Linked DNA regions of Rhinolophus ferrumequinum. The protein of the gene in region 1 purifies or fractionates together with the protein of each later gene. This does not show direct contact. Links are inferred from orthologs where the notes say so. Each region holds a gene or a part of one and is shown in the gene's direction. Other genes may lie near its edges.

Region 1 (7,423 bases):
AGTAAAACTAAAATAAGCCAGTAAGTTAATGTTGGTTCAGTTTGGGTAATGGAACTGAGTGGTTTTTGTTTCCTTTTGCTTTGTCGTATTTTCCAGATTTTGATGAACACATCAGAACTGTTTTAAAACAAAAAAACAAAATTAATTTTCATGGAACAAAGGAAAAAGTTCTTGTTTTGTAATGAAGGAAAAAAACTCTGTCTTCCCAAACAGCTACCGTGTTTCCCGGAAAATAAGACCTAGCCGGACCATCAGCTCTAATGCGTCTTTTGGAGCAAAAATTAATATAAGACCCGGTCTTATTTTGCTATAAGACTGGATGTTATATAATACAATATAAGGCCGGGTCTTATATTAATTTTTGCTCCAAAAGACGCATTAGAGCTGATGGTCCGGCTAGGTCTTATTTTCTGGGAAACACAGTAGTAATTCCAAGTGTAGATTTAAACTAGATAAAACCTTAAGTATTATTGAAAAGATAATCTACATTCTTTTGACATCTGGGGACCCTCCATGTGCAATTTTCTTCAAAGGATTTTATGGTACTCTATTTTTGTTTGTAGCCTACGTTATAATGAGCCTATTAACAGCTTAACTGGATTGAAGATGACAGCGTAATTTAGTTTAATAATCCCTTTCCACGGGAGGAACATAATTCAAAGATATTTCCAAACTATTTCTGTAATGTGTATCTGTATTAAAGTAACAATACTTAAAAAGCAAAGATGGTAAGCAAAAGTCGAAATGTTCAAAAAATGCATGCTTGTCCCCAAAACCTTGTCCCGGGCCATTAACTTTTCTGATACTGTTTAGTGGTAAGGCGGCAAGCCCTTGGCTTTCACAAGACTGCTGCAGAAGAGTCGACCCCGGCTCTACCGAATGCGGCCTCTGCGGGGTTCAACAGAGTGTGTTAGGGACGCGGAGCCTGGCAGGACCGACGGGCCTCTCCATCTACTTACTAGGCGGGTCTGCCGGCTGGCCGGCCGACTCCAGAAAACCGCCTCGACTGTAATGGCGGTTATAGCGCCGAGGGGGAGCGAGGCTGAAGAGAGCGGGCTCAGGGCGCGAGGGAGCGGATTCCTCGAGTGGGCGGTGTGGACGCTGACCAGAAGCACTCAGCTCTCAGCCCAGCTCCGCGGTTTCCGGGCCTGGAGTGGCCCTGACTGGGAACTACCACTCGCTTCAGGTCCGCCTAGCCCTTTCCTCCGACGCTCGCACGCTCTTACGCACGCACGCGACTCCCGGGTCGAGCGCCCACCGAGGCCCCGCCCCTCCAGGGAACTGCTACAGCGGGCGTGTTCAGCCGCTAAGCTGCGCCTCTGGCGCTCGTCCTACGAAATGGCCCCTGCCAGGGCAGCATTCTGGAGCAAAGGTCCTCAAAGAAGCCGAGGGAAAGCAGCAAGAATGAAACACTGGGCTTCAAGTTTGAAAATGGAAAGTTGGGCTTAAGTCTGTCGCTAATAAATGCTTGCTGAATGATTAAAGTTGTAAGTGCATGCCTGCTTTAACTCCACCTTCAAAAAACGCTATTCTTCCAAAATTACAATAGCAACATAGTGCGTATGTGTGTGTGTGCTTTATGTATTGACTGGCTCCGTCTCCTGGCAATCCTGTGAATGAATGATTTCCATAAACATCCTGTCCTCAATAGCCCTGTTCAGCTCCTATAGACTCATACCTATGGTTTCTTTATGGAGTCAATCCATCTCATACTTGCTCTTCATCTTTTACTGCTGCCTTCTATTTTCCCCAGCATTACTGTCTTTTCCAAAGAACCCTGCCTTCTCATGATGTGCCCAAAGTAGGACAGCTTCAGTTTTGTCATATTTGCCTCCAGAGATGTTTCAGGCTTAATTTGCTCTAGGACTCACCAGTTCGTATTTCTGGCTGTCCAGGGTGTCTGAAGTTTCTGGTGAATCCTTCACAAGTCCCCTTCCTACTGTACTCCAAACTGGTAGTACCTTGCAAGCCAATTTGGTGAGAAAATTTTAAAGGAAATATTTTGCCAGTATTATTTTCTGAAACTTTATTTTTACTATGTTCTTTCTTTAAAAATTTCAATAGTTTGTCCAAATCTAAACTTTAGCCAGTCATAATCTGGTTTCAACCCTGAACAACCTTAGCGACTATTTCCCCCATCTATGCTTCCCCATATTCAGTGTGCTTAGTTTAATCTTCACATTAAGCGTACTGTCAAGAGTCGTAGAGGAGGGAAGATAATACGGTTGAAGAAATTGAGCTAGGCCTATGTGCTCTCCACTAGTCAGCAACAAGAAAGAGACTACAGCCTCTGGACCTTGAGAAAAATAAGACATTTCTGGATGCCAATCCAGTGGTCTTTTCATTCCCATTACTCAAAAAAATATCAAAGAGCTCTGTCCTCAATAAGTAAACGCTAAACAAATGACATTTCAGTGGGAAGCAGCATGGTAAGAAGGAAAGAGCACACACTCAGGAATTAGATTTTAGTTCAAAACCTGCGTTCCCACTTAAAACTGAGTCATCACAAGCAAGTTATCTTACTTCTTCACACCAGTTTGCTAGGCTTCCTTTGCCTAAAAGTATATTATTCAATTTTATATCCAATATGAGATGTCTTATAAGTTTGCATTTATTTCCAAGAAGAGATCTGTAATAGGTTTATAGTAAACACACTATGGTCGTTTAATTTTAAAATTGTTTAAAAATAATTTACGAATGTTTTGTTATTTTAATAACATTAGAGCTCTTCTTGACACAATGACACATAGCCTTGCCTTCATGGGGACAGATAATATAATAAATGGTAAATACAAGGCTGAATTCATAATACTTTTGAACAATTATATAGGGATGAGAATCTAATGGTATGAACAATTAGAACTGTGAAATCCCAACATATACACTATTGGTACATAAATAAACATATGGTTGAATTATACATCATTTTAAACATATTTCTGAAAACATTTCTCTTTGAAAGAAATCTTTCAAGTTATTATACCTGAACTTGATTGTTAAGGAGAAAGAGAGAAATCCTTCATGAAAACAATGTAATTAAGGACTGTACTATAAAGAAATGCTATAATGGAGTGTGGGGTGGGGGAAAAACCACAAAAATCAATAATTATCCAAGGAGTAATTTAGTAGTCTATATTAATAGAGTGTATGAGGGGAAAACGTTTAACATTTTAACTTGCTTGGGAATCAACCAACCAGGTACAGTGGTACCTCGGTTTCTGAATGTAATCCGTTTCGGAAGACCATTCGAGTTCTGAAACATTCGAAAACCGGGCACGGTTTCCCCATAGAAAGTAATGCAAAATGGATTAATCAATTCCAGACCTTTAAAATCAAACCCTAAAACTGCAAATTTAGCATGAATTTTACTATCTAATGATACCATAGATCCATAAAATTTACAGCGTTCGTAAACTGAAATATTCCTCAACGGAGATGTTCAAAAACCGGGGTACCATTGTACTTATTTTGTAAGAATATTTCTACCTCTTCCCTGTTGAGAATCAAGATATATAAGAAGGTCTAATATTCCAACCTCAAAGTTCTAGGATAAACCCCAAATCAGTTGATTACAAGAATGAAAGTGATCATCAGTCTGCTTTCAGGTTCCAGATTATGGGGAATGATACTTTTTTTTTTTTTTGAGAGAGAGAGAGAGACAGAGAGAGAGAGAGAGAGAGAGAGAGAGAGAGAGAGAGAGAGAGAGAGAGAGAGAGAGAGAGAGAGGCGAGACAGACAGATACGCGCACACAGAGAATGTAAAATCCTACATGGTGCTGAAATCTCTCCAAGAGCCAGTAAATGTTTTCTCATAGAATATTTAATTTAGTCCCATTATTGTAGAGTTCATTATTATAGAAAAACACAAATCAGATAATGTGAACCAAAAACATTACTAATTCAGTTCACAGAACCACTGAACCTAATGACTCCTGAATCCTACCCCTGGACTTGGCAAAAGCTGAAACAAAGTTCAAAAGTTTCAAATAAATGTATCAGTAATAGTTACATAGTAAAATACATTTTCTTTCTAGGTGCGGCCCTAACTTTACAGTCTTTTTAATATGCCTTTCCACAAACTTTCCCTCTGATAGAATTAACTAGCCGGTAAAAAGACATTCACTATGCCTCCAACGCAGCCCAGAAGCAGTATCATCTTGTTTGTCCTCGTTTGAGACTTTTAACTCAACTTCTGCGCCCACAGTGAAACGAGTCCCCGGAACCGCACATCTGATCCCGATATCTCAATCCCTTTGTATTCGTCCCCAACAAGTTTCGAGAACTAAAGGTTGGGTTCTGACACTGACTAGTTAGCCTAAATAACCCGGCCTCACATCCTTAGCAGGTACCGCCTACACCTCCCGACGCCCCTTCGTCCCGGAAGTTGCGTCATGACGTTCGTGCGCGCTGTCCCCGGATGCACTTTTATATCCGGATTCTTAGAGCGGACTCAGAGCTCCACGGTTCTTTACGCGGTTAGCACATGCGCGACGGCTCTGCTCCCTTTTCCTCTACTTCCACTAGCCTCCACGGTCCGGGCTGCCGCCGCCACCGCCGCCGAGGAGTCAGGAAGTTCAAGATGGCCGCTGTGGAGGCTCAGTCTCTGCGGGAACAGCCAGAGTAAGTAGTCTCTTTGAGTGGTACGGAAGGCCGGAGCCCTGGGGACTGCCGAGTGGCAAACAGTGGAGACTTGCACAGTAGGGCGGGAAAGTTCAGGCCTAACGGCGAGAGCGAAACTTTGCCTTTCCCCGCTCTATACGTTGTGGGGCGGGAAGCGTGGGGTGCAGGCGGGCGGCCTGCAAGCTTCGCTGTCCCCGAGGCCGCGTCTGTTGGGTCGGAGGCGGCCGCGGCCTGCCGCGCGTCGTTGCCCTGGGAAGCATAGGCGCGAGCGGCCCCTACAGGTCCCGTGCGCGCGGCGGCTACCCCGAATGTGCGGTCGCATCTTCCTATTCCTCCCTCCGGGACCGACCGGAGCTCCCTGGGTAGGCACCCAAGGGACAGTGGCGGCAGCGGAGCAAGCCCTAAGACTTTTCTTCGGCGTACAGTACTTGGCTTGTCCTGCTACTGGTGTCCGTTTTAGAACCAGAAAGCGGAGAGGAAAAGGGGTGCTAAGGCCATCCTGTTTGACCATCCCCTGCTATAGTTTGTGCACTTCGTCTCCCCACCCCTGTTTTCTTTATTCCAGCATTCACCCGGTATCCCCCTTCCCTCCCCCCCGCCTATTGACAGCATTTGCCAATTGGTTAACGTGAGACAAAGTAAGATTAAGTCCTTGGTTTTGAGACCTGGCATTTTTGTCCTGAGTTTGTAAGACTTCTTTGGGAGAACTAGTGGAAGAAGTAGTGGAAATTGTTAGCTACTTCCAAACCCAAGTACTTTGTGTATAATTAAACTAATGTAAGAATCGATGTGGTCGAGTAAAAACATACTTGTATATACTGCAAAGGCTTACCATTGCTTAACTGAAAGCAGTATTTTGTTTTTTGTGTTTATGCTAGGAAAATTGAAGAACATAAAAGAGAATGGATTTTAAAACAATATTCCTATAGCGACCATTCTTTGCATGAGCATTATCTGATTTGTTTCCAGCCATTTTTGGAAAGAGGTAGATATAGTCTCCCAGCAACTTGGGATTGAAAGATAGGAGAAATCTTTATCACCAGACGGCCCAACACTTCATTGCTGTGCAAGAGTTTTGGATCCTTCAATCATTTGCTTTACTCAGCCAGACAGAATTACACTGTTTTTTGTAAAGGGTTTTTGAAAGCTGCTTTATTATTTTCACAATTTGACTTAGAAGAAAGCAAATTGATTCTAAAGTTTTAACAAGACTTTGCCTTTGTTTCTGTCGAGTTCACAGTGTGGCATAGTTACAGTATTTATGCCAATACAGTACAAATCTAATGCTATGCAGTTGATTATTGTAGTAATCTGTTTAAAGTTCTAAAGCAATATGTCCATTCATTTAATTTCAGGGACGCTACAGATTCATTTTGAGGAATGGTTCAGGCATATTTTATTCACATACTGAAATCCTACATTTGATAGTAATAAATAACTTTATTTAGGTCTGCAATATGAATGACACTGAGATAGTCTTTAATTCTACCTCCACTTCCCCCAGACCACTTGGTACAAATGGAATATTTGGTCTATATGTGTTCCACTTTCAATTATTTGAAAATGATTAGCAAAGAAAATAATAATTTGATATGAAAGCAAGTACTGTGTATACTGCTCATAGTGAATGCTGGAATATAGTGTCTAAACAGTTCTTTAGAAGACACTGAATAGTTTATATGGAATCTATTCAAAGTAAAACATTTAGAAAGAGTAAATACGAAAAGCAGTTTTCAAGCTTCTTGAAGGCTGTTTAGTGACTTTTATATTTGTCAGTTTCTTTAGCTCAGTCTTTTTGATGGTTTTAAACATTTACATTTTTATATGCATTGACTTATTTGCACTAGGTACTGTTCAAAGCACTGAACAGATATTAACTCATTTAATCCTTATAACAACCCTATGGTAGTGGATACTGTTATCGCCCATGTTTTACAGATGATGATACTGAAGCACAGAGAGATTAAGTTCACTTGTCCAAGGTCGTACTAAGTGACAGATCCAAGATTTAAACCCAGGCAGTCTGGTTCTAGAACCCTGCTCCTAACTACTATACAGTCTGGTCTGCCACTACACATTGTGGATAATTTTAAAAATAGCCTTTAAGGTTTGAAATCATTTTTATTTATTTTCAGTGTCCCGGAAAAAGCCATTTTTTGATGTGACAGTTCTAATTCTTTGAAGCTTAATTTCCCAAACCTAATCTGGAAAAGGTGTAGGCTGAAGAGTTTGTTTTAACACCAGTTGGTCTTTTTAATTCATTCTTATTTTTACATCTAACTAGTTCTGTATTAAAGTAGTTTAACTTGTTAGAGAAACAGGCCGAATTACTTTCTTTGTAAAGAAGCAATGGCATTCATTTTGCTCACCATTCTTTGTCTGTAAAGCATAAATTGCATGCCCTCCAAATAAAATGTCAAAAAGAATATTCATTGAAAAAAAACACGTGACAGAGAAAGTTAAAATAACGCTAGTGGTTGGTAATTGGTCACTTTATTTTAAAATTGTTCCATGGCTATTTTCATTGTGCTAGATGCTCTAAGACCTGGATTGTTTGAATGGTGAAACTTGTATATTGCATTTGAAAAAACAAATATATACTGTTAAACAGTGCCATATTGTCAGCACTTCTAATTAAGCTCTGTTCCAAATAATGTGATTTGAAGGATGTTACTCAGCTCTCAGTTTTGTTTTATGATGAACCTGTTACAGACCAGGTTAGAGACATGTACTGCTAAATGTGTAATGTTAAATTGCAAAATGTAAATTTATGTGTATGGAATTTATATATAGGCGTCCCCCT
Region 2 (7,777 bases), on another chromosome or scaffold:
TAACTGTATTGGAACACCCTCCTCACTCACCCGATCTGGCCCCCAATGACTTCTTTCTTTACCCAAAGATAAAGGAAATATTGGAAGGAAGACATTTTGATGACATTCAGGTCATCAAGGGTAATACGACGACAGCTCTGATGGCCATTCCAGAAAAAGAGTTCCAAAATTGCTTTGAAGTGTGGACTAGGCGCTGGCGTCGGTGCATAGCTTCTCAAGGGGAGTACTTTGAAGGTGACTGCAGTGATATTCAGCAATGAGGTATGCAGCACTTTTTCTAGGATGAGTTCGCAAACTTAGTTCTCCAGATCATTTCTCTGTGTTTGCTTTTCTTTCAGTTACTACTGAAAAATCTATGAATGTCCTGATCATGTCTTCTCGTGCCCATAGACAAGAGAGGCACCAGTCTAGTGGTTCTCACGTTCCCTGAAGCAGCAAAATACCCGGGGCCTGTTAACATGCACACTGCTGGCCCTACTGCCAGAGCTTCTGATGCAGCAGTTCTGGGATGGAGCCTGAGAATGTGCATTCCTAACAAGTCCCCAGGTGCTGCTTTTAGTCCAGGGACCCCACCTTGAGAACGCCTGTCTAGGTGTATGCCTGGGGTGGAATTGCTGGTCACCAGGTACTGCTCTCAGCAATACCACATCGTTCGCCAACGTGGTTGTGGCTCAGTGTAGCTTACCACCCGTGTTAAATTCAGATTCCGTGTTCCACGGTCTGTCACAGCTCAGTGGTGGCAGCTATCTTACATGGTAAGTCATGCCAGTGCAGGTGTTGTCCTTGACTGACCCAGTGGCCCTTGCGGGATGTGACCACAGCCTGTCAGCACTCAGAATGTGGGGGAATATGCCCATCAGCATCAGTGACAGTGACCCCAAATGATAAAACAGATGTTTACATTTCTTTTACATATGTCACAGCCAGAGTAACAATCTGGAGACAGCCTCGTTCATTATGTCAGAAAAGGCTTGGGTCTTGTAGTCCAGCTGCCTGGGCTGAAATCGCAGCTCTGTGACTTTACACTTCTATTTCCCCAACTATAAAATGGACATAACAATGGGGGCTTTATCCACGAGGAGCTCGGCACAAGGCCTGCTGGAGTGAAGAGCAACACAAACCAACAAAGTTTGTGCCTGTTACCGTGTGGTCTCTTCATTCTGCAGCAGGTGTGAATAGCCCCACTTTACAGAACAGGAAAACTGAGGCTTAGAGGGATGTTGCTTTCACTCTCACACCTGGGGCAGACAGACCTGGGTTCTAATCCGACCTCAGCCATTTTCTATCTTTCTAAATGCTCCCCTCCACCCCAATAAACACACACACACACACACACACACACACACACACACACACACAACTAGATGTTGCAAACATTGTGATTAGCCACTCAATGCCTGACCCAAGGTTACAGGGAGATCACTGCAATCCTGCTCTCCAGGAGCTCGTGCCCACCTGCAGAAATAGACCAGGGCTCTGGTAGGTGGTCCATTCAAGGTGAAACCTGAAGAATGATTAAAAGTTAGCTAGATGAGGGGTGGCCAGTTAGCTCAGTTGGTTAGAGCACCATGCTTGTAACACCAGGGTTGCTGGTTCGATCCCTGCATGGGCCAGTGTGAGCTGCGCCCTCCACAGTTAGATTGAAACAACTACTTGACTTGGAGCTGATGGGTCCTTTAAAAAAAAAAAGTTAGCTAGAGGGAAAGGTGGGAACAGTGTTCCAGGCAGCAGGAGTGGCATGTGCAAAGAAAAAGTGTGGAGCGAGTTGAGAGCCAGAGAGGGAGCATGAAGACTGGCAGGCCAGGCTGGTGGGGCCAGATTACAAAGAGCAGGTACATCAGGCTTTGGTGTTTGGGTGCAGAGGGAGCCCCTGGGGGGGGGGGCCTCAGGCTGGAGTAGTGAGACTGAAACAAACCCGAGATTATAGAAAGATGGCTCTGGATATCTGGGGGAGGGTGGGGGTCAGGGGACAGTGACAGAGCAAGTGGTGGTAGCTAGAACCAGAGTCAAGGGGGATGGAGAAAAGGGAAGACAATTCAAGACTCAGTTGGGAAGTAGAGTCACGGGTACTGGGCAGGAGACCTGCCCCATTTGCCTCTCCTCACCTCTCCCAGCCCTTTCCTCTTTTTCACCCTCACCTCCTCTCAGCTATCCCCCTGCATTTTCTCCCCTTCTCTCCTGTTTCCCTTCATTTCTTTTCTTCTTAGAAAAATAATAGTTTCATTAAGGTATCATTCAGATGCCATAAAATTCACCCTTTTAAAATGCATACTTCAGTGGTTTTTAGTATATCCACAAAGTTGTACAACCACCACCACTGCCTAATTTCAGAATATTTTCATCACTCCTAAAATAAACTTTATCCCCATTTAGCAGTGACTCCGTATTTCCCCTCCTTCGGCTCTGGTAACCACTAATCTAAGTTCTGGCTCTATGGATTTGCCTCTTCTGGATATTTCATGTAAATGAAATATGTAAGTCGGCTCAGGCTGCCATAATAAAACCATAGGCTGGGAGCCTTAAACAACAGAAATTTATTTTCTCACAGTTCTAGAAACTAGACATCCAAGATCAGGAGGCTGGCTTGATTCGGTTCTGGCTCTGGTGAGAGCCGCCTTCCCGGCTTGCAGACATCACCTACGTGTGTCCTCACGGGATAGAGATTGGGAGGGAGACACAGAGGGAGAGGGGACTTCATTCCTTTATATGGCTGAATAATATTCCATGGTGCGCATAGACCACATTTTATTTATCCATCATCAGTTGATAGACATCTAGGCTGCTTCCACTTTGGGGTATTGTGAATGATACAGCTATGAACAGTTGTGTACAGGTTTTTGTGTGCATGTGTGTTTCATTTCTCTTGGATTAGATACCTGGGAGTGGCATTGCTCGGTCACATGACAACTCTATGTTAATGCCTTCATTTCTTCCCTTGCTCATTCATTCATTCAGATAACATAAGGCAAACACCTGAGTTAATTCAACTTCACTGTGGGCCAGACACTCATATTTGTGGGCAAAATGGTGGCAGTCTGCCCCAAGGAGGAGGAGTTTTTCTGGAGGTGGAAGATGGGGTGAAGAAAGGTCTGCTTTGCTCACCATCCCCCAAAACCCTTAGTTACCGCCAGGACCAGCTACATAATTTGCAGGGTCTAGTGCAAAATTAAAACATGGGCCCCTTGTTCAAAAATGATTAAGAATTTGAAGGCAGGGATAGCAGAGCATTCAATCAAGCCCAGTACCCTTCTAAAAGTGGGCTCCTTGTCTCTAAATGGAGAGCGCAGTTTGATCCTCTGCAGGCCGCCCTGAAGGCAATTGGTAAGATGCAAAAATACCCCAAGTACCACACCATGTCCTTCTAATCATGAAAAGTTACCCTGGTAAGCTCATCCCATTTAAAAGATGTGGAGCTCTTTAGTCTGATGGAAATAGTTAAAAATGTTTAAGCTTTAGTATTTAAACTCACTCCATGTCTCAAAATGATTAATTTTGTGTTGAACTGTTTATATTTAATAGAGTGGAAGTTATTTAGTCCCATGGAAATTGTTTTAAATGTTTAGTCTTAGCCTGGAAGAAACCTCAAAGCAGAGGATCAGCTAACCCATGTCCTAATTCTTGACCTACAGATATGTATTACACCCTGCTCACCACCAAAAGTCGTTTCCATCTGTCACCACGCAATTGACCCTTTTACCTGTTTCGCCTTCCCTCCATCCCCTTTCCCTCTGGTAACCACAGGTCTGTCGTCTCTGTCTCTCTGAGTTTGCTTTTGTTTTGTTTTGTCTGTTTTTGTTTTTTGTTTATTTTGTTTTACATTGCACATGAGTGAAATCATATGGTATTTGTCCTTCTCTGATTTATTTCACTTAGCATAATACCCTCAAGGTCCATCCATGTTGTCACAAATGGTAGGATTTCACATTTCTTACCGCTGAATAATAGTCCCTTGAATATAAACATGTATACTACTTGTTCTTTATCCATTCGGCTACCTAGATACAAGTTGCTTCCATATTATTATTACAATAATACTGCAACAAACATGGGAGTGCAGATATCTTTTCAAATTAGTGTTTTCATATTCCTCAGGTAAATACCCAGAAGTGGAATTGCTGGATCACGTGGTAGTTCTAGTCTTAATTTTTTAAGGAATCTCCATACTGGTTTCCATAACGGCTGTATCAGTTTACATTCCCACCAACAGGGTAGGAGGTTCTCAGCTGATTATTCTTAAGAAAGCAGGAATAGTTTTAAAATTTTTAAGTTTTTATACTCAAACTCAGTATCTCAAAAATGATTAATTTTGTGTTGAACTGACTATATTTAATAGAGCAGGAGCTATTGAGTTCCACGGAAATAGTTACAAACGTTCAGGCTTTGATATTTAAACTCAGTATCTCAAAAAATATTCATTTTTTAGTGGGTGCTTACGTTTATTAGAACGGGAATTCGTTAGTCGGAGGGAAGTTAAAATTGAAAGCTGCGAGGGCGAAACCACCCATCGCTGCGCCGGGCGGAGCTCCCCACCGAGAACCCAGGGCGGGAACGTGGGCTCGGGGTGTCACTTGACCGCCTGGCGCCAAAAGCCCTCTCCGCAGGCGCCGTCACCCCGCCAGCCGCACACTAACCCAGAACACCCCTGGGGCGGGGCCTCGGGCGGCGCCTGCGCCCTGGCGGGCTCGGGCGCGTGCCGCGCACCGGCGGGAGCGCGCGGAGGCCGGAAGGAAGCGGGCGGAAGGCGGGGCGAGCGAGGGAAGCCCGCCGGTCCGCAGGACGGTCGCGGCTTGATGACGTAGCACAATGGCCGGCCCCCGGGGGTAGTGGAGCCCGTTTGTTCCGCCCGCGTCGCGCCTCAACCCGGAGCCTGTAAAGAGCGGAAGGGCCGAGGGACGTCTTCCCTGCGCCGGCCGGACCCCAGCGGAACCGTGGCCCCCTCCCCGCCCTCGCGCTGAGGTAAGCGGTGGCGGCGGCGGGGCATCTGGGCCGGCGGTGAGGAGGCCGAGGCGGCCAGGAGGGGAGCGTGGCGGCGGCGCGGAGCCCAGGCCGGGGAGCTCGCCGCCGCCGCCTCCGGGGAGTGCTCCAGGCTGCGCCCCCGGCCGAAGCGTGGTTCTCGGACCCCGGGAAGGGGACGCTGAGATAGACAAGATCCCGCGTTCCGTCTGCGCGAGCTGGTCCTGGGGGTCCTGAAACCCCACAGATCCCGAGCTCCCCGCGGCTGCCTCTGCGCCCCGCGGTGGAGTTGATTCTCTTGAAGCTGTCATTTCTCTTCCGGGACGTTTGCGGGGCACATGTTTGCCGCCCACAAATGTGGGAGTAGGCACGCAAGTTCGTCCCCCGGAGGCTGCCGGCCCGGACTGGGGATGAGCTCTTCGGGAACTTCGAGCTCTCTGGAGCCTCCTGGAACTTGCTCTCTCAGCTCCCCCAGTGTGCACAGGTGGGAGGTGTAGGCTGTGCCTAGAGACGGGCGCCACTTTCTCAGGAATATGGGATTTCCTTGCCCCTTTGGATAGGAGCCCAGAGAATGCTGAATCCTTGGTGTAAACTAACTGCAGTCAGTATGATGCTGGAAGACCTCAGACTTTGAGACTTCCAGTCTTGCTCTTGCTGAAACTTAAGTTCTCCTCACTGCTGTGTGACAGCTGAGTTTGCTGGGGGGAGAGGTTGATCGTTTTAAATGCCAGCAGACGCAATTGTAAGAGTAGGTCAGTCTTCAGATTCATTTGGGGCAAAAGGAGGAAGAGGGTGTTTGACATCTGAAGTGCTGTTCAGGGGCGTAGCAGTGGCTCTCATTTCTCCCGTGAGACTCGCCTCCATCATACAGCCCATGGATTGGTTCTTGTCCAGAGCAGAGTTTGGGATTCTCAGGGAGAGACTGGACCCAGGCTGATTCCCACTTCCAAGAGCTGGGAGGGGAGTCTTGGTCTGCTGATTTTACAATCTAAGACGTGGAACCCAGCCAGCTCTGGAAACTAATCAGCTGTGTCCCGAAGGCTGGAATGCCTCTCCAGTTTTGGGTGGGAAATGCTCAAAACGTTGTAAGAAAGCTTTGTGGAATCATTGCAGAGAGCAAACAGGTAAGCTATGACCTTGCTCACGTTTAAAATAGGTTTTTTGTTTTTAGTTTTGCACAGCTATCCATCGTCTCAAGGTGAGTGCTTCCTCCTGGAGTATTTTGGTGGTCAGGCTTAGTCAGTTGGGGGGTAGTGTTTGTCAGCACGCTCAACATCTTTCCTTTAGGTGACGTAAGTACGTGAAGTTATGTGCCAGAACTTAGGCATTCAGGTAGAGACTGCTCTATTTAAAGCTGTTATCCCAAAAAGTTATCCTTGTATTTTATTGGTGCTCCTTTGCCAAAAACCTCTTGAGAACTCCTGTTTTGGTAGTAAATACATAAGCCATGTGAGAAAATCTGTCTTATTCAGTAGTCACACCCTGGGTTTGACCAAACATTGTCTTACCTTGCTTAATAACTCAGCTCACTTACCAGACCAGGCTCTGAATGGCTTCCTGTGGTTTGTCAAAGTGACCCACCTTGAGAGGAGAAAGATTTGTTGCTACTGAGAGCACCAAGAGAGTGTTTTGCAGGTTCGAAAGGTCACTCAGGAGGGTAGTTACCAAAATGTTCTGTGCTTTAACAGAGCTATTGTAATCCATATGCAGCCTTCCAGAGTGACTGCTGGGAAATGAGACAGCTCCCACTCTATGCTTGAGTGCTGGTATAGTCTTCTAAAAATGAGGCTCTTATTTCAAATTTCTTTTTAGTACGCAACAGGTAGTTTATCAGGTAATGAGCTTTTGTCATTTATTAATTCAACAAACATTTATTAGTCACCATTTGCCAGATGCAGTAGGCAGTGGAGACACAGTGAGTGATGGATAGTTGTTATTCAGTTCTCTGGGCAGGTTCATCATCTTATGGATCAAAAGATTAAAGAATTAGTTCTAAACTTTGCCAAGAATCCTCGATTACAGGGTAATTGTGTGAGAAGAACAAACAGTAAAATCTGGGCACCTGGGACTTAGTGAAGTCATGAGCAGAGTGCCCTCCATTTCATTGTCTACACTTAACAGTGTTTTTCCTACCATCTGACATAGAGCACACATTCAGATATTTGTTAAATGGAGTTCATCTCAAATTAATTTAGGACACAGACACCTAGAGAGACAGTTAACCTGCCCAGAGCATGTCCGGGAACGCAAGCCATCTTCTGATTCCCCAGTGACACTCTTCCTGTTCTGTGTAGCATGGTGTGACTTGGGTTGTTTCTGATAACAGGGAACTTCTTTGGCGTATTTCCCTCTGCAAGGTGTTCACTTGTGAGCATCCTCAGATTGTCAATTCCCAGGAAAGAAGAGATGTGACTCCTTTCCTCAAGAAATTGTCAGGGCCTCCGAGGGTGACTGGATGTCTCCATGAGCTGCGGACAGACCCTGTTCATGCCTGCTGTAATTGTTAACAGTGCCCCTTTTCAGTCTCAGACACGTCCTAGTTTAGACAGTAAATCACATGAGAAGTCTGCTACTACACGCCAGCCATTTGCTGAGCCTAGGGAACACAGGTGAGTGTGAGCCCTCTAGTCAGGCACTTCATAGGGGGCAGTGGAGCCTCCCAACAGACTTTGCAAACAAATAATCTCAGTACAGTGCGGTAATTATGGATACATAATAGAATAATGTACAATATAGTTAGAGCAAGAGTTCTTACTCTGGGGACCATGAATGGACCTCAGGAGATCCTAACTTAGAAGATAAATTGTGGTATCCAGGTTTTTCT
Region 3 (7,739 bases), on another chromosome or scaffold:
CTTATCCACTTGGCTCACCTTCCCGGCATTCTTCTGTCACTTCAAGCTGTGACTTGCTGCAATTTAATTATGTAGTTTAAGAGTGCCCTCAGGTGTCCTTTAAGAGAAAAGCTGCTGATATGGACCAGCCAGACAGATCTTGAGACCCTGATGTGGAAAAACCCCTGAGGCAGGGGACATATTTTTGTTTCAAGAAGTTTCAGTGCTCACCGGCTCACGTAAACCCCGAATTTCAAGTCACTGAGGTTAGGCTGATGTGCTGGACAATTGAAGTAGCTTGGAATTGCAGTGCACAGGATGTCTTGTGGATTTCTCAGACCTTAGCCTAACCCTCCGTTAGGAAAAATGTCCACTTAGGTGAAAGCAGTGATATTCCTGGGATCTTTATTTTAAGGGTCTCTTGGGAGTTTATATACTCTTGGGAGGTAGGAAAGGAGAAAACATGGAGCAGAGGAAAAGATGAGAGGTTCATTTTCCTCCCTCTGGTGTGTTGTTTGGGTCTTTTTTGTTTGTTTGCAACTAGGGTTCCAAACAGGCAATTATTGCTAATGTTGAATTTCTCTTTGTATGTATGTTCAACTGTGAAATCACATTGGGAGAGGCTGTTTCAAGCTTGTTTTGATAATTCCCCTTTAGGGATAAGGTTGAAGGATGGAATTCTATTGTCCTAACCAAGGGAGGTTTTGCTGCAAGAAATCCTTGCAGTTTAGTTCATCATCTTCCTACGTAGGTTTCCTTATCTAGACAGTGCAAATCAGTGGGGCTGACAGAAACTTGCAAAATCCACGGAAGGGGAGGGAGACATGCTTGCAAGTCAGACCCCAAAATGAAGATCTCCCACTTTATTGGTATCAGAATTACTGGGAGAGCTTGTCAGAAAGGTAGATCCCCCCCCAAACCCCACACCTCCAAAGTTCTGAGCAGCTGGAGGTGCAGTCACATTGGGAGGTTGGGGGTGGATGGAACTGATGAACTCTGATACAAACGGGTGAAGGAAAGAAAAGAACAAAGAAACAGCTGAAAAAAATATGGAGGAAAAGATGTATGGAAGTGAGCAGAAGCACAGTAGCAAAGAACCATAAAATAACAAACATAGCTCAAAGAGCTGGGTGGAGCAGCAGGAGCCAGGTGTGGCAGGGCACATGAACTCAGTGAGAAAGCATGTTGGCACAGGCTTCATAAACCTCAGCTCTCCCTGGAGTCTCTGCTTGGAGAACACCAAGCTAGCCAAATAAAATTCTCAAAAATTCCAAAATACGAGGCTGGTCAAATGGGCCAATACCCAAGAAAGAGTGGCTACAAGGGACGTGGCCAGGCATGATCCTGCAACACTCTTTTCCCGTGGGTGCAGCAGCTGTGGGGTATGAGTGTGTGTGTGTCTCAAGATCAGCACAGACTGGTCCTGGCACCCCCAAACTAGGGGTGAGCTCCCTGGGCAGTGAGTCTCGCCTGCTGGCAATGCTTTCAGCCTGGTCAGTGTCGGCTCTGGCGCTTTGCAATCTCCTCCTGGATGCGCAACTCGAGGGCCTCTCGCATGGATGGATCCAGAGGCGTGTGTGCTGACACCTCCTCACTCACCCTTCCTGGGTCATCGTCCTATGTGGAGGAAGAGTCAGGAAGCTCAGGGCCTGGCCTCTCTGGAAAGGCAACCTGCCCTGTCCCTAGACAACACTCTCAAAGAATTCTGACTTACAACTTCTTGCCAGTGCCTGTCATTTCCCAGGTATCCCCTGTAATAGTGATTCTCAACTGAGGGCCACGAGCCCTCCCTGATGCTCACTGAGAATCACCGTGTGACAGGAGTTGTGCTCAAAAGCACTGCCCAGCAGTCTGTGCTTCCATGTGGAGCAGACACTTCCCTTTGGCCCTGATGAAAACAGTGACTCAGGGTCTGGGAGTGATTTCTCCCATGTCCCAGGACCTTCAGGCTGTAGTTGTTTCCACCAGGCGTACCTGATACACGATAACTGATGTGATTTCTCCGCTGTCTGCCTCATATTCTAAGCAGAAGAGCTGATGGCCAGAAGGCTCTGGCTCCGAGCCACCACTACTGCTGCCGTCACCGGACTCTTCACAGTCTGGGTTGCTTGGGTGGGTAGAGCCATCTGGAAGGATGAACCAGAGTGAGAAGGAGGAGAGGAAGGCTGCTGGAGTTCCTGACCACAGATAAAAGCCCCCATCTTTTTATGAACCCTGTGTGTGTTTGTGTATATATGTATGTGTGTGAAATGTGCCACCACTCAGTTTCACCTTTGTATCCCTGCTCTAGGGCCAGCACAATCCTGTCACACAGTAGGCACACAATGCACATCTGTCTAATGAATAGGGTTGGTAGGCAGTTGAAAGGCGAACAGAGCTCTGTCTGGGTTCAAGTCCAGGCTCTGCCATTTACGAGCTCTGAGATTTTGGGGAAGTTACTTAACCTCTCTGTGCCTATTTTCCTGACTGTGAAACAGAAACGATGAACAGTTCCTAACTTATGCAGTCCTATGAAAACATGACAACGTACAGAAAACTTCAAAGCACTTTAAGTCATGCTCACGAAGTCTAGCGTCGTACGTTAACTACTGCAATCGCTACGTCCAGGGAAGCTGGGAAAAAGGCCTGTTACTGGGTTTGTCTTGCCGGTTCCCAGGTATGTCCTGTAACAGTGACGTTTAATTGGGGGCCATGAGCCCTTCCTTTCCTGTCCTCCAGGAAAAACAATCACTGAGCGGAGACTGGGGAGCGTCGAGGTGCAGGTTCCAGGAAGGAACGGGATGAACTGAATGAACCCTGGAGAATAAGAAGGTTTTTGTTTTTTCCCATTTAGAGAAAGGGAGTGCATTGAGGCCGAGGGCCAGTGGCCAGCGCACGCTGGGAGGCAGGCTGGACGGGCGGCCTCACCTCGGTGTCGCGGCAGGTACACTGGCAGGTCGGGCTTGCGGGGCCTCGTCGGAGCGGGCGTGTGTCGCCTCCTCACCTTCTCCTTGGCTGCCTGCTTCACCTTCTTGTCGTAGTCATCCCTGCGGAGAGCCGAGCGGGAATCAGGGACAGCCCGGCTGCGCTGGGCTGGGGGTGGGGGAACGGCGGGGGCGGGGCGGTACCGGGCCAGCTGGTTCCGTCGGATGTGGTGCACGAAGCCGTGGCTCATGTCCAGCCGCCCGCCAGGCTTGCAGCAGAGCCCCGGCCCGGGATCCGGCGTCGCTGCCATCGGGAGCCCTGGGCGCGGAGCCGCCGCCGCCGCCGCCGCCGCCGCCGCAACGGCTGCACTAGTCACCCTCCCGCCGGGAGAGGTCGGCACCGCCTCTCGCTCGCCTTCCGGCCTCGCACCCCGACCTTCCGTCGGGAAAGGGCCGTGGGGCCGAGCGGCGCCGCGCGCTGAGTTCCAGGCGCTGACGCGGGGGTAGGTGGGGCGTGCGCGACTTCCACGCCCTGGGCGGGACTTTTCTTTGTGACATGGAGAAGAAACAACATTTTAGGTTTACAGCTGATAACGTCAAACAATTCAGCACCCATGACACCACTGAAGGTCCGGTGTGGAGCCTTCCCGTCCTTTCTCTGGGGGTAGGGTGTTGTGAAACTTGAGTCGCTGCACGATTTCGGCTGACTACCGGACCCCGCGGGGCCTCAGTTTCCTCATCTGTAAATGGGGACTCGGAGGGCACCTACCTCAAGAAAGGTGGTGAGGCGAGTGCTCTGGCAGGGCCCCAGCGCCGGGGCTCTGCAGCCGGCCAGCCGACCGCCCAGCTCGGCGCCCACCGGCCAGCTGTCTTAACTGCTCCCGCGGGAGGACTCAGGGCTTTTCAGGGGTCTGAGCGGGCGCCCCCTTCCAGTCCTCCTTAAAAGAATAGACAGAATTAGGAATTTGTCATTAGAACAGGGACAAACATTAGGAATTTGTCATTGGAACAGGCACAAACTGTGGTGCACCCACACAGTGGCATACAGCTGAGCGATCTCAAGGAACGCGCTGTTGCTACGACGCGGATGAATCTCAAAATAAACGCGCCAAAAAGGACACCCGGGTGCTTCCTGTACGTGCAAGTCTAGAACACGCACACTAACCTGTAGTGACAAAGCAGACACGTTTGGGGCTGGCGGGGAGGCTCCTTACGTTGATCGTGGCGATGGTTTCCGAGTGTACATACATCCATCCCGGCAGGATGGAGCAGATCCCACACTTTAACGTGCGGTTTATCGTATGTCAAAACACCTCAGTAGAACTTTACAAAGAAAGCAGTCTCGGGTCCTGGAAGGGGGTCGCGAGTCACAGGCCCTGAAGCCTTAGCTTTATTAGCGTCACTGTAAGTCCCCTTTGTTCAACGTTTCCATTTGCCTGTGACAATATGAACAACCCTCTAAGTGTGGAATTATATAGACTCCGGGTTGTTGCAGGAAGGAGATGATTTGGGGATGTCGCCTAGTTCTCCTGTGCAAGGGGCGTCGGTCTCCGAAGCCCGGAGACTGTGGAGATGATGCCCCCGCCCCATGCTGGTTTCGGGGCACAAAGTATATTGAAGATACCTGGGGTATCTTCAATGACAGCTTCCTTGATCCAGATATTATGCAGCCAATAAAAAGTTCCTGCCTCTTTAAGCTGGAAATTTCGGGTAAGGTGGCAGTAGGCCCGCAGATCGGTCTCAGGTGCGCACGCAGCCGCAAAGAGGCCACAACAGAGGCAGTACCGGTACTTCCCAGTTTCCTCCGGTATAATTTGTCCCCTTCGGCGACTCGTAGAGAGCCTTGGGCTCGGTAACAGCGGCGCTCTCGATTGGCTGTTTGCGGCGCCTTCGAACGTGCCTAGCTCCTGCGCTGGGCGACTGGGCCGGTAGTGGCGATGTCTGGCCGGTCCAAGAGGGACTCTCGTGGTTCCACCCGTGTGAAACGCGAGTCCGAGTCACGGGTCAACTCGAGTCGCGTCAAGCGGGAGCGAGATCGGGAGCGGGAGACCGAGGTGCCGAGCTCCCGGGGCAGTCCGGTGCGCGTGAAGCGGGAGGTCGACCCGCCTAGCACGCGCGAGGCCCCGGCGCCCGTCATCCCGGCTGTGCGGGTGAAGCGGGAGCGCGAGGCGGACGAAGACTCCGAGCCTGAGCGGGAGGTGCGAGGTGCGCGGGGCCGGGCTGGGCGCGGGCTCTACTCACGCGTTCTCTGTTTTCTTTCCAACCTTCCCGGGGTGGGTCTGGAAATCCACACTTTACCAGTGTCCGAGACCCGACTCGATTGGCGTCTTAATGAAGATGCTACTAGTCTTAATAATAACTATAGTTACAAGATTTCTAACGACAACAGCAGCTTTCCTTTATCGAGTGCCTAACGCGGGCCAGGCATTGTGCTTATTATTTTACAGGTGTTATGTCCTTCAGTTTTTATAAAACACCTGAGGATTGAGTCTTGCTGTAATTTCTGGAATTAAAAGACTATTCAGATTTGAGAGCCTGAACCCTGGTCGCCTGCACCCTACTGCCCTGTTAGCCAGACCTTAGCAGCCAGATCAGGCTTGTAATCCTGCCTCTCAGTTTGAATCCCGTTCCTCAGTTTCCAGGACTGTGTATCTGTATATGAATATACTCATATTAACTCTTACATTTTTTTAGCTCAGCGTCCTGTATTTGACATTTTGCATCACACACAGGATCCAGAGTAGTCCCTTGCTCATAAATGCTTGACAAATATTCTTTGCATAATCTAGTTAGTAATTTCAAGGTATTCTCTAATTTCCTTTGCTTAAATACTCTGTCAGCCTCAGATTTCCCTTTCTTTAGAAGAGAAATTGTTTCTTAGATATTTTGCATAGTTGTGGTATGGAGATTGTTTTCTCTGGGACACACTTGGATCCCAGTTGTTACTGACTTGTCTTTTTAGTTTTCATTTTATTTTTATCATGGACTAGATCACAGGTACCAAGATGTACTGAATGTAATGCAGAAGTACAGTGTAAAGAAGTGTGTGGATGTACATTCTTAAATCTGCGTGTGAAGAATTGTGAAGGGTCTGAGATTTCATCCTATTTGCAAGCTACCAAGTTAGGCTGCTTTCCTTTCATGCTGAAGGAAGACATGGGACTATTGGGCCTGAGACGGTTTATTGTTACAGCATTAACAGTAGCCAGAGTGTGGCATTGGTGTCAGTTCCCCAAGTCAGTTCCCACAATGCAATATGAAGGGAACCCATTTGGCCCAGTGGGTGGCCCTACAGTAGAGGAATTCTGAGCTTCCAGAGCCCGAGTCTTTTATAATAGGCTGTGAGCTTGCCTCCCCTTTGCTCTGTAGGGAGATAACTATTTCTGTCTTCCAAGGTTGTTCACTATATAAACATCCTTGATAAGATCCTCTGGATGGAGTTAGTGCCTCTGTTCACAGTATGTGCAGAAACACGAGAGACCCCTGGAGAATTGTTTCCTAACACTGTCAGCTTAAGAAGTGGTACATAACCTTGGAAGTTCCCATAGGCTCCTCCTTAGTTGGATATATGCTTTCCTTCCTTGCTTAGGTAATCACTATCCTGAATTTTTTTCTAATCACTTCTGTTTTTGTTGTTTATAATTTCATTTTGTATTTGGTATAAGTGGAATCATACTGTGTAGTTTTCTGATTTACCTTTTTTTTTGTTTTTGCTGGCCATATTTTTGAGGTACATCCAGATAGATGGCTACATAGTGTTCCATTAATGATACACCAAAATATATTTTTCCATTTTATTTGTGGGGGACATTTGGGTTGTTTCCACTTGGGGCTCTTTCAAGTATTGATGCTGTAAATATTTTTTAGTAAAGTACTCCTGGTGCATGTGTGGAAAAATTTCTCTAGGGTATATAGATAGAGAGATTGCCAGGTCAAAGGGTCTGCATATTTTCAGGTTTGATCTTGCTGTATTATTTTCCAAGAGGCTGTAACAGTTCTCGCTCCCACCAGCAGTGCGCAAGCATTCTCATTGCTCCACATATTCGCCAGCATTTGGAATTTTCTGATTGCATTTTTCCCCCCTGATAGGTGTGACACACATCATTGTGCAAGATTTGCATTTTCTTGATTATTGATGAGGTTGAGCATCTTGTAATATGTTTGTGGGCTGTGTTCCTCATTTTATTGTGTTGTCTGGCTTTTTTTTTAATTGCTTCAGTACATTTCTCCATGTAATTTGCAAACAAATAATTTGTTGGGGTTATATGTGTTTCTAATATATTCTCTCTGTGGCTTGTTCCATTAGTGGGTTTTTTTTGGGTGTTGCCAGGCTACCTGTATAGGAGCTCCCCTTGATTAGTTTTGCCTGTTTCTTTGTACTCGTAGTTGCCCCTGAGTACGGGTTTCCCATTTTCACAACCTGTGATGACTTTCCTTGCAGCAAAGAATGGCCGGGTGGATTCCCAGGACCGGAGGAGCCGCCACTGCCCATACCTGGATACCATTAACAGGTCAGTAGGACAGGGATGCCGAGGGCAGCAGCAGAACAGCGGAATCTAGGCAGGAAGCTCTTGGGAAGTTCCTGTTAATCTTACTGTTAATCTTTGCTCTTCAATTTAAAGTGTCAGAGGGCATGCTGTTTTAGGGTGGGCACATGCATAAAGAGCTTGTAGCTCATTTTGAATCCGTGTGATGAAATATCAGGATACGTAGTGTCAATGATGATAGCAACTTTAAATATTCATTGAGCACCCACTATGTGCTAGGCTCAACTCTAGATGCCTGGGATTTACTAGAGAAAAAAAGAGACAAAAATATGTCCTGAAGCAGTTAGTTACCTCATCCTGATACCCTTTT
Region 4 (7,979 bases), on another chromosome or scaffold:
AACACACGCTAAATAGTGAGTGAATGAAGACTGCCACATATTTGAAGTAACCTCCAAGAGAATGGGGTCATTGTTTCCTTCATTACTATCTATATCTATATCTATCTATCTATCTATCTATATCTAGCTAGCTAGCTAGCTATATCTATCTATCTATGTCTCTACCTATCTATCTATCTATCTATCTATCCCCAGCACCTAGAACTAGCTCTGACAGATATAATGGGCATTAAATAAAAAAAATTTTACATTAATTGATTTGTTTCCTAAATATAGTAATGACTGAAAACTTTGCTTTGACCTCAAATGTTATTAGGCTTCTGTCTTCAAGTTTTGTGGAGTGGTATTGAGGGTTAGGGATAAGGAGGGAGGGACAAGATTCTCAGGCTGGACGGGTCTGTGCAGTGGACGGCTCAGAAGTGCTGGAAGTGGCAGAACTAAGTAGGGGGTCCGAAATAAAGATGTTAACCCTGCCTTTAATCATGGTAGAGACAACACTAAAAGTAAGAAAACTTGCGGCCTGCAGGATACAAGTACGGGAATTGACAAAAAAGTACCAAATAGTAGAAGATGCGAGGGAGAAGAGGATAAAAGACCGAGGACAGCTGAAAGGTTCGAGGCCTTAGGATACCTGCAGGTAGAACAGCTTGTCTACACCACGGGAGGCGTGGGGTGGCGATGGGACAGGGATCGAAGGAAAGAACTGAGGGGAAACTGTCATCGCAGAAGGACCTCAAGGGTGTGTTGACAGCACTCACCACCTCCCCATGCTCCGCGGACTTGTACACTCCAGACACCATCTCGTTGTGGAGAAGCAAAAACAACGCCTCGTCCGCCATTTCCTGCTTATTCTTCCAAGCTCTGGTTTTCGGCTCCCGTTTGGGCCAGGCTCGGGGGTTCCGGCCAGCGCCTGAGCGATTCGGGCTGCACCGCCGCTCCCTCAGTCCGCAGCCCGTCCCTCGTTGCTAGGAGACCGAAGAATTCACTCCGCTTCCGGAAGGCTGGTACTGGACTGAGCCCAGTACCAGGGCGAGCGCACCCCACCCCAGGGCCACCAAGCCCTCGGGAGGAACGAGATAGTGTAACACTTGCGGGAACCAAACCGAACCCACGAAGCCTGTATGTGGCCACAGGGCTAGCGGCGAAACCAACAACTTCCGGTCCCCTCTACCCCGGCATTCCGCCAGCTCTATGATCGCAGAGTTCCTCCTCGGCGGGGGCGGGGGGCGGTGGCGGGGGACTGCTTGGCGCCCTTGAGATACTGGGGAAGGAGGGGCAGCTGTCAAAATAAGACAAAGAAGCTCCTCCTGCCATCTCTGAGTTAATTACTTATGAGTTAGTTAAACTTTAAAGAATGTCTATTCACTTCATCAAAAGCTTCCACTTCCTGCCATCATGTTCCTCAATATGAAAAACTGTAGAAAGAATGAATAACTCAAAAATCTTCAGGCTATAAATTTTAAATATATATGAGAAATTATCCTGGATTCAGCCTAGGTATGCAAAAAGATTTAAAGCCATTTTGGCCCCCAAGAAATTTACGGGGAGTGGGGTGTAAGGGACAAGGCAGATGGAGTAAAGAAAGAACAGGATACTCTTGAACCAGAAAATGCAAATTAATCAGAGGATTAGGTGAAGGGAAAAAGTGCTATAAACTTCAGAAAAGCTATGTCATTTTGGGATGGAGTTCGTATAAATTTATGACACATGGGCAATTTAACTCCTACAGAGGTGCAAATACATATCTTAGATCATATGCACCTCTTAAATTTGGCAAATCTGGCTTAAACCTGTTGCTTAGCATGTGATTAGTTCTTAGTAATTCACAAAGCCAATTTTCTTCCCAATTAATTCATTGCTTCCCCAAAATTAACATATTGAGTTTCCTCAAATTGTTAACAACCTCTCAACTCTTTATATTCTTTCACAGGAATTTAAGATCATGTTTCATAACTAGAATTATGGTAGGTTTTTGTTTGTTTTTTGTTTGTTTTTTTACATATCCCTTCTAATGTTTGGATCAGTCTATTTGATCATATAAATCAAGCATAAAAGTTCCACTTAAGCCTTTGAAAATACTAAATAGTGTAATTTTGTAACCATAATCTTAATTTTTTCAGAAGTCAGGTCCTTTATGTCCCAATTGCACTCTCCCTTCATCACCACCGTCGAGGAACAGAAGTCCAAATTCACCATTGAGGTCAAAGAGTAAGCAACTGACCAACTTACTAAGATTGATTTCTCAAACTACAATAACAGGGGTTTCATAGAATATTCTGGAGAATAGAGGGGAAACTAATATTTATTGAGCACCTACTAAATGTTGAACACAGCATCCCACTGATTCTCCCCCATAAAGCAGACTATGTTAAATTGCCCAGGATCCTAGTATTAGATCCTATGGAAGCCTACTTTTGGTTAGATCCTGTTTTTTTATTAACTCTAAAAGCATTCTGTCATGGAAACACTGTTATAATTGGTAGTTAGGATCTACTGTTACCACATTTGGTGCTTCATGTACTGCCTACCACATAGGATTGTAATATGGATCGAGATTAAGTATGCTCACAATCAGAATGAAATAATTATTTATCAATCCTCATCCCTCTTACCTAGCTTTACTTTTTCTGTTTTCAATAGCACTTCTGTTTCTAATGTTGGAGTGGAAAAGTTTTCCTTCTACCCTTCTAGGTATTTTGGATGATCTAATAATTGACATAAAATAGATTAACAAATTTAATTCTATGCATATGGGCGCCCCATGAAAACATGAGACCTCAAAGGTAGTCAGGCAACTGAGGCTTATTTGCCATCCTGAGCTAAGGAATGAAATACTAGGGACCTGGTGCTATAAATGAAAGTAAGGCAATTCACAAGAAGAGCAGATGTTTGCTCTGCTATGCAGGTCTTTCAAATAAAAAGTTATCTCTGGTAATATCTCTCTTTCTGGACCAGGCCCCCTAACTAAATTATTTTAGGCAGTTAAAGGGAAAGTAAAAGTTTTTGTTGAGTCTGCTGGGTCTTGATTGCCTTCAACCCAAAATAATCCACATGCCAAAATGGCACATTTTGGGGAGTCATATTCTGCTCTCTTTCACTAACATGCTACACAACATACTGATTTTTGTCTCCACATTCTTTCTGCCCCCAACCTCCTTGAGGGCAGAGATCTTTATTGCACACTGAGGTATCTAAGTGCTTGAAATAGTGCCTGGCACATAGAAATAACAGGCACACAACAAATATTTGTTGAATGAATGAACGAGTACATGAGTGATCTTTGCTCCCTGAAGAGCTTATAAACTCCAGGGAAACTATAACCACAGCTATCTTGCTCTAGGCTTTATGCTGATAGCCTAGGTTACCGCTTATACACAGAAGGAGTTTTTAAAAGTGGTTGGATGAATTAAAATGGTAGCTTGAGTTAAATACAATTGGCCTGCTAATGCTTGGTGCAAGTAGGACGCCTGGTAGTCAGATGGAAAATAAGAATCCAAAGGTTATTCATAACACTGTTTCTGTGGGAAAATGTTTTCTGAACTGTAATTTGCAAATATATTTCTGGAATAAAACTGGTTCCCATGTTGGCAGTCCAGGTAGAGCAGAACCAGAAGTTGGACAATACTCTTTCTCACACACAACCAACAATAGCACTGATTCCCTAACCCTATTTTAAACTAACCAGCTCTAGGCCAGGTAGAGAGGCTAATGCCTGCCTCATCTGTTTCACCGTCACTTTCTTTCTTCTAGTACAGTCTTGCACAGGGTCTGATCTGATGGTGATTCTAGGCTGGCAAGACCTAGGGGCAGTTACTGAATCCCCAGACTCAATTTCCTCACCAGTAAAAACTGGTATTTTATTTCAGCTTTTGAGAGGCATAGGGCATGCAAAGCGTTTCACACAGTGTTGTGTTGCGGTTTTTTGCTTTTTGTTTTAATCTTTTTAAAAGATTTTATTAAAGGTCTTCAGAGCAACTTCCAGACTCCAGATCCAGCCGCCAAGGAGATCCTGTTATGCTGTGGGTACTGGCTGGGGCATGGCAGGCGACTCTGGCTTCCTACCTTTCTGTTCCGAGATGGGGGTGGTTGGTAGTATCTCATCTCTGGGTTCCACAATGCTCACATGGTCAGGCAGGAGCTTCTTAGGGCCAATCTTACTTACCACTTGGGTCCCAAGGAAGCATATCTTTACTTTGATGTCCAGCACACCCTGCCTGAGCAGCACATGGGCACGGCAGTGTCAATATATAGTTAACAGGGTCCCATCAACAATCTTCATGGGGTTTCCCAGGCACCATGACCTCGCAGCCTTTGGCCCTACCCTACTCTCCCTGATGAACCACAGGACACCATAGCATGCCTGCCACCCAACAAGGTTTCCTAGGAATTTGTAAAGCAGAGACTCTGCCTGGGCAATGACACATAGACCACAGTGTTATTTTCACACCGAAAATAACTGTTAGCTATAACGATTAATGACTTTTCCTGTTTCTTCATTCTTTACTTCCCTCTGCTCATTTTGGTTTAATCTGATCAAGGGAAGCGCGCACCTCCACACACTCCTTCTGGGCATGCGCACCAACAGAACTGTCGCATCTTATCCTAATCTCCATACTGGACGGGGGAGGATAGACTTGCCTCGGTCTTACTCTGATGTGATTAGGTGGTTAAAACGACGTAAGGCACGTCATATCACAGGTTAAAAAGGTTGCAAAACTCCACGCTATGGGACAGAAGAGCAGGCCCGCAAGCTCGCGTCTCCCAGGACGCAAGGACTCACAAACCCGCCCCAGCTCTGCGCTAGACTCTGAGCCCAGCCACTCGCAGCTAATTGGGGAGGGAGGTGACCGCCTTAGCGGACTTCTCATTGGCCCAGAGTCACAAAGGCCGGTAGTTTCTCCCCTTCCGGTTGCTGAATGGTTGAGGCCGAAAAACAACGCCTACCGTCATTGGCTGAACCCAGCTGTCAATCCCCACGCGTCTAGCGGCGCGGCACAGGCAGGCGCGGCCTGTGGAGCAGTCTCGAATCCTGCTGCGGGGAGAAGATGGCGGTCGCAGTGAGAACTTTACAGGAGCAGCTAGAAAAGGCCAAAGAAAGCCTAAAGAACGTGGATGAGAATATTCGCAAGCTCACCGGGCGGGATCCGAATGACGTGAGGTAAAGACGGGATGGGAAATGCCGGCTCCGAGAGGCAGCCATCAAGCCGGGTGAATGGGGGGCGGGGAGGGCGACCAGCTACCTTAGGAGAAGGCTGGAACATCGAGGCCTCTTCCCGGGGCGGCGATAGAACCCGGTCCTCGGTGAGGTGGGGTAGTCTCCAAGGCCCCCGCTAAAGGTTCCCGGGCTCAGGTGCGTGAGGAAGGAAAACCGGGCCTGCGTGCGGCGGGATGGCTTCCCGGCCTGTGGGAAGGCCCGGACTGCGGATTCCCGCCCTCGGCCCTGCAGGCCCGGAACTGCAGCACAAAGCCCCTTCTCCCTCCGGCGGCCACTGACCCGGAGACCCTCCCGGGACACGGTTCGCCCCCTCGTCCCAGGTTCTTGCCCACGTGCAGCTTCCTTGGAATTGGCGAAATTAGGACATGATCCAAGCTTGTTAATGTCTAGTGGCATCGAGGTAAATACAATTTGTGCTACTGATCTTGAAAGAGCAAGGAAGTTAAAATAGTACTTCCTGTTCGTTTTCAAACACGTGGATTTGATTCGTATGTTTAGAACTTTTCTGTTTATTTTCTCCGTATGATGAACCGCACTGGTGAACGTTATTTGGGGCCATTAGATGTGTCCACATGTGATTTTTGTACTGATTTGTAAATATTTTGTAGGCCCATCCAAGCCAGATTGCTGGCCCTTTCTGGTCCTGGTGGAGGTAGAGGACGTGGTAGTTTATTGCTGAGGTAAGATTTCCTTAGGACTTAATTCGTATGTTAAAACTGTTGGTGCTTTTTGTACTAAATTAATGTATCTTTTTAAACAAAATTTGTGGTAGAACCAATGTTACAAATGTTTGTTTAAAGCTATGATTAACTGTAGTTTTCTGGGTAGTTATACTTGGAGCTTCACTTACATGTAAAACTAGAGATTGGAGAATGTAACTGTACCAGTTTTGTGCGAACTTAATTTTTTTGTTGTTTTTTAAAAAATGCTATAAAAGCATCTTGGAGTGAATGTCCATTTAAGGTTGCTTTCATTGAAAGGATATTTAAACTTTTAATTTTTCTTGCTAAATGGAAATATTTACATTAAATTTCAAGTACTTTGTGTTGGACATTTTTAATTGCAGGCGTGGATTCTCAGATAGTGGAGGAGGACCCCCAGCCAAACAGAGAGACCTTGAAGGGGCAGTCAGTAGGTATGTTGGAAAAAAAGATTGTGAAGGCACACTTACATGCTCTGTCTTCTGAGGTAGCATATATATATATATTTAACGAATATTGTCAAAGAAAGAATGTCCAGCCTGCAGAAAAGTTTTTTAAGCGTTTGAACCAAAATTTTGAGGACATGCCCTGAAGCAAAACTTCAGCATTTTAAGAAAATGCTTGGGAGAATGGCCATTTTGCAGCTTATTTTATACATTCGAATCAAAGGAGAAGACATAGGGAGGGTTATATGAAATCTATTGGTGGTAGATTAAGGACGTGAGAGAAAGCAAAACAGATCTGTAGGATTGGGTAGAAAGGAAAATGGAGAGACTTACATCGGTGGGTATAGGATAGTTAGTAATTAACATTTATAGTACAGAGACTATGCGAGGAGTAAGATAACAATGAGGGATACTGTGGTCTTGTGCTCTAGAGTCTTGTGCCTCTGTCTTTCGGGAGGGTGAGGTCTAGAAAATTACTTTAACATTTCAAAGATATGTTATTCTAGATGCATAGGAGCTCACTGAAGGTTTTGTCTTTTCACTAATGGAGCAAAGAATAAAATGGGATGGAGATAATAGAATAAGGCTTCTGGAAATGAGTCTTAGAAAAAGGAGTCATTTGGCCTTGGTAGGCAACTAAGTCAGATTCTGTGGTGGTTACTTAAATTATTTTCCTATGACAGGCTGGGCGGGGAGCGTCGGACACGGAGAGAATCACGCCAAGAAAGCGACCCAGAAGATGATGATGTTAAAAAGGTAATTGAGATTAAAAGAACTTAGACGATGAATATAGTATTTTCATGTTACTGCAAAGAGTACCACCCATGTGCTTGTTAAATTACTGAGATTTTCTTTTCTCCTGTAGCCAGCTTTGCAGTCTTCAGTTGTAGCTACCTCCAAAGAACGCACACGGAGAGACCTTATCCAGGATCAAAATATGGATGAAAAGGGAAAGCAAAGGTATCTTTAGTTACTTTTTGTGGGGAAAGAATTCCTGTTAAATAATGCAATTTTAAGAAAACTTAAGCAATTGTCCAAATGGCTATAGTACATTTCTTTTTAGGAAATGGCAGGTTTAAATGAAGTAGATCCTATTGAAATTGAATTTTCTTTTTCTGTTCTTTAGGAACCGGCGAATATTTGGCTTGTTGATGGGCACCCTTCAGAAATTTAAACAAGAATCTACTGTTGCTACTGAAAGGGTATTTATGCAGTTTCTCCTTTGCTTTGTTAACTTATCAAAGTAGTTGGCTTAAACATGCTTTTAAAAAGAGCGGAAAAGCTCTCTTAAGGTGTAATTGCAAGCCTAAAATGAATCCAAGGATAAACTTACATAACTTTCTGGAATTGTTAGATGATCTTTTTCTGAGGTACTTGGAAGTAATTGAGTGAACTTCTCTGTAGAGTTAAGCACCCTGGTCTGTGACTCAGGAGAACTTGAGCTCTGGCCTCAGCTCTGTTAACAGTCTTATTTTGTGGTCTTGGACAAGTCACTTCATTTCTTTACCCCAGTGCTTTTTCTTCAGCAAGGGAATTAAACTCATTGATCATTACTAAAAACTAGTAATTCTAATTTTTAGACTTATTTACACACTCAGAAGCAATACTTAGTATTCT

Evidence for each region.
Region 2: the proteins of PRPF4B (region 1) and ZC3H18 purify together in Homo sapiens (co-immunoprecipitation; 4 studies listed by BioGRID and IntAct, counting the BioPlex papers as one, with this or other methods). This does not show direct contact. The link is inferred for Rhinolophus ferrumequinum from reciprocal best matches to the Homo sapiens genes PRP4K and ZC3H18.
Region 3: the proteins of PRPF4B (region 1) and USP39 purify together in Homo sapiens (affinity purification with mass spectrometry; 3 studies listed by BioGRID and IntAct, with this or other methods). This does not show direct contact. The link is inferred for Rhinolophus ferrumequinum from reciprocal best matches to the Homo sapiens genes PRP4K and USP39.
Region 4: the proteins of PRPF4B (region 1) and PNN purify together in Homo sapiens (affinity purification with mass spectrometry; 5 studies listed by BioGRID and IntAct, counting the BioPlex papers as one, with this or other methods). This does not show direct contact. The link is inferred for Rhinolophus ferrumequinum from reciprocal best matches to the Homo sapiens genes PRP4K and PNN.

Annotation. Positions count from the first base shown.
Region 1 is NC_046292.1:89,848,990-89,856,412, reverse strand, and holds the start of PRPF4B (serine/threonine-protein kinase PRP4 homolog), read left to right. Parts: upstream 1-4,420; 5' UTR 4,421-4,483; coding exon 4,484-4,620; intron 4,621-7,423. UniProt on the Homo sapiens protein: Serine/threonine kinase involved in spliceosomal assembly as well as mitosis and signaling regulation. Connects chromatin mediated regulation of transcription and pre-mRNA splicing.
Region 2 is NC_046298.1:33,213,591-33,221,367, forward strand, and holds the start of ZC3H18 (zinc finger CCCH domain-containing protein 18), read left to right. Parts: upstream 1-4,776; 5' UTR 4,777-4,956; intron 4,957-7,777.
Region 3 is NC_046296.1:8,725,531-8,733,269, reverse strand, and holds the start of USP39 (U4/U6.U5 tri-snRNP-associated protein 2), read left to right. Parts: upstream 1-4,725; 5' UTR 4,726-4,819; coding exon 4,820-5,087; intron 5,088-7,323; coding exon 7,324-7,393; intron 7,394-7,739. Other genes in the region: C13H2orf68 (UPF0561 protein C2orf68 homolog), read right to left, coding at 1,474-1,596, 1,954-2,105, 2,887-3,005, 3,087-3,193.
Region 4 is NC_046289.1:86,505,081-86,513,059, forward strand, and holds the start of PNN (pinin), read left to right. Parts: upstream 1-4,967; 5' UTR 4,968-5,045; coding exon 5,046-5,158; intron 5,159-5,823; coding exon 5,824-5,895; intron 5,896-6,281; coding exon 6,282-6,350; intron 6,351-7,045; coding exon 7,046-7,118; intron 7,119-7,227; coding exon 7,228-7,322; intron 7,323-7,488; coding exon 7,489-7,564; intron 7,565-7,979. Other genes in the region: TRAPPC6B (trafficking protein particle complex subunit 6B), read right to left, coding at 759-839. UniProt on the Homo sapiens protein: Transcriptional activator binding to the E-box 1 core sequence of the E-cadherin promoter gene; the core-binding sequence is 5'CAGGTG-3'. Capable of reversing CTBP1-mediated transcription repression.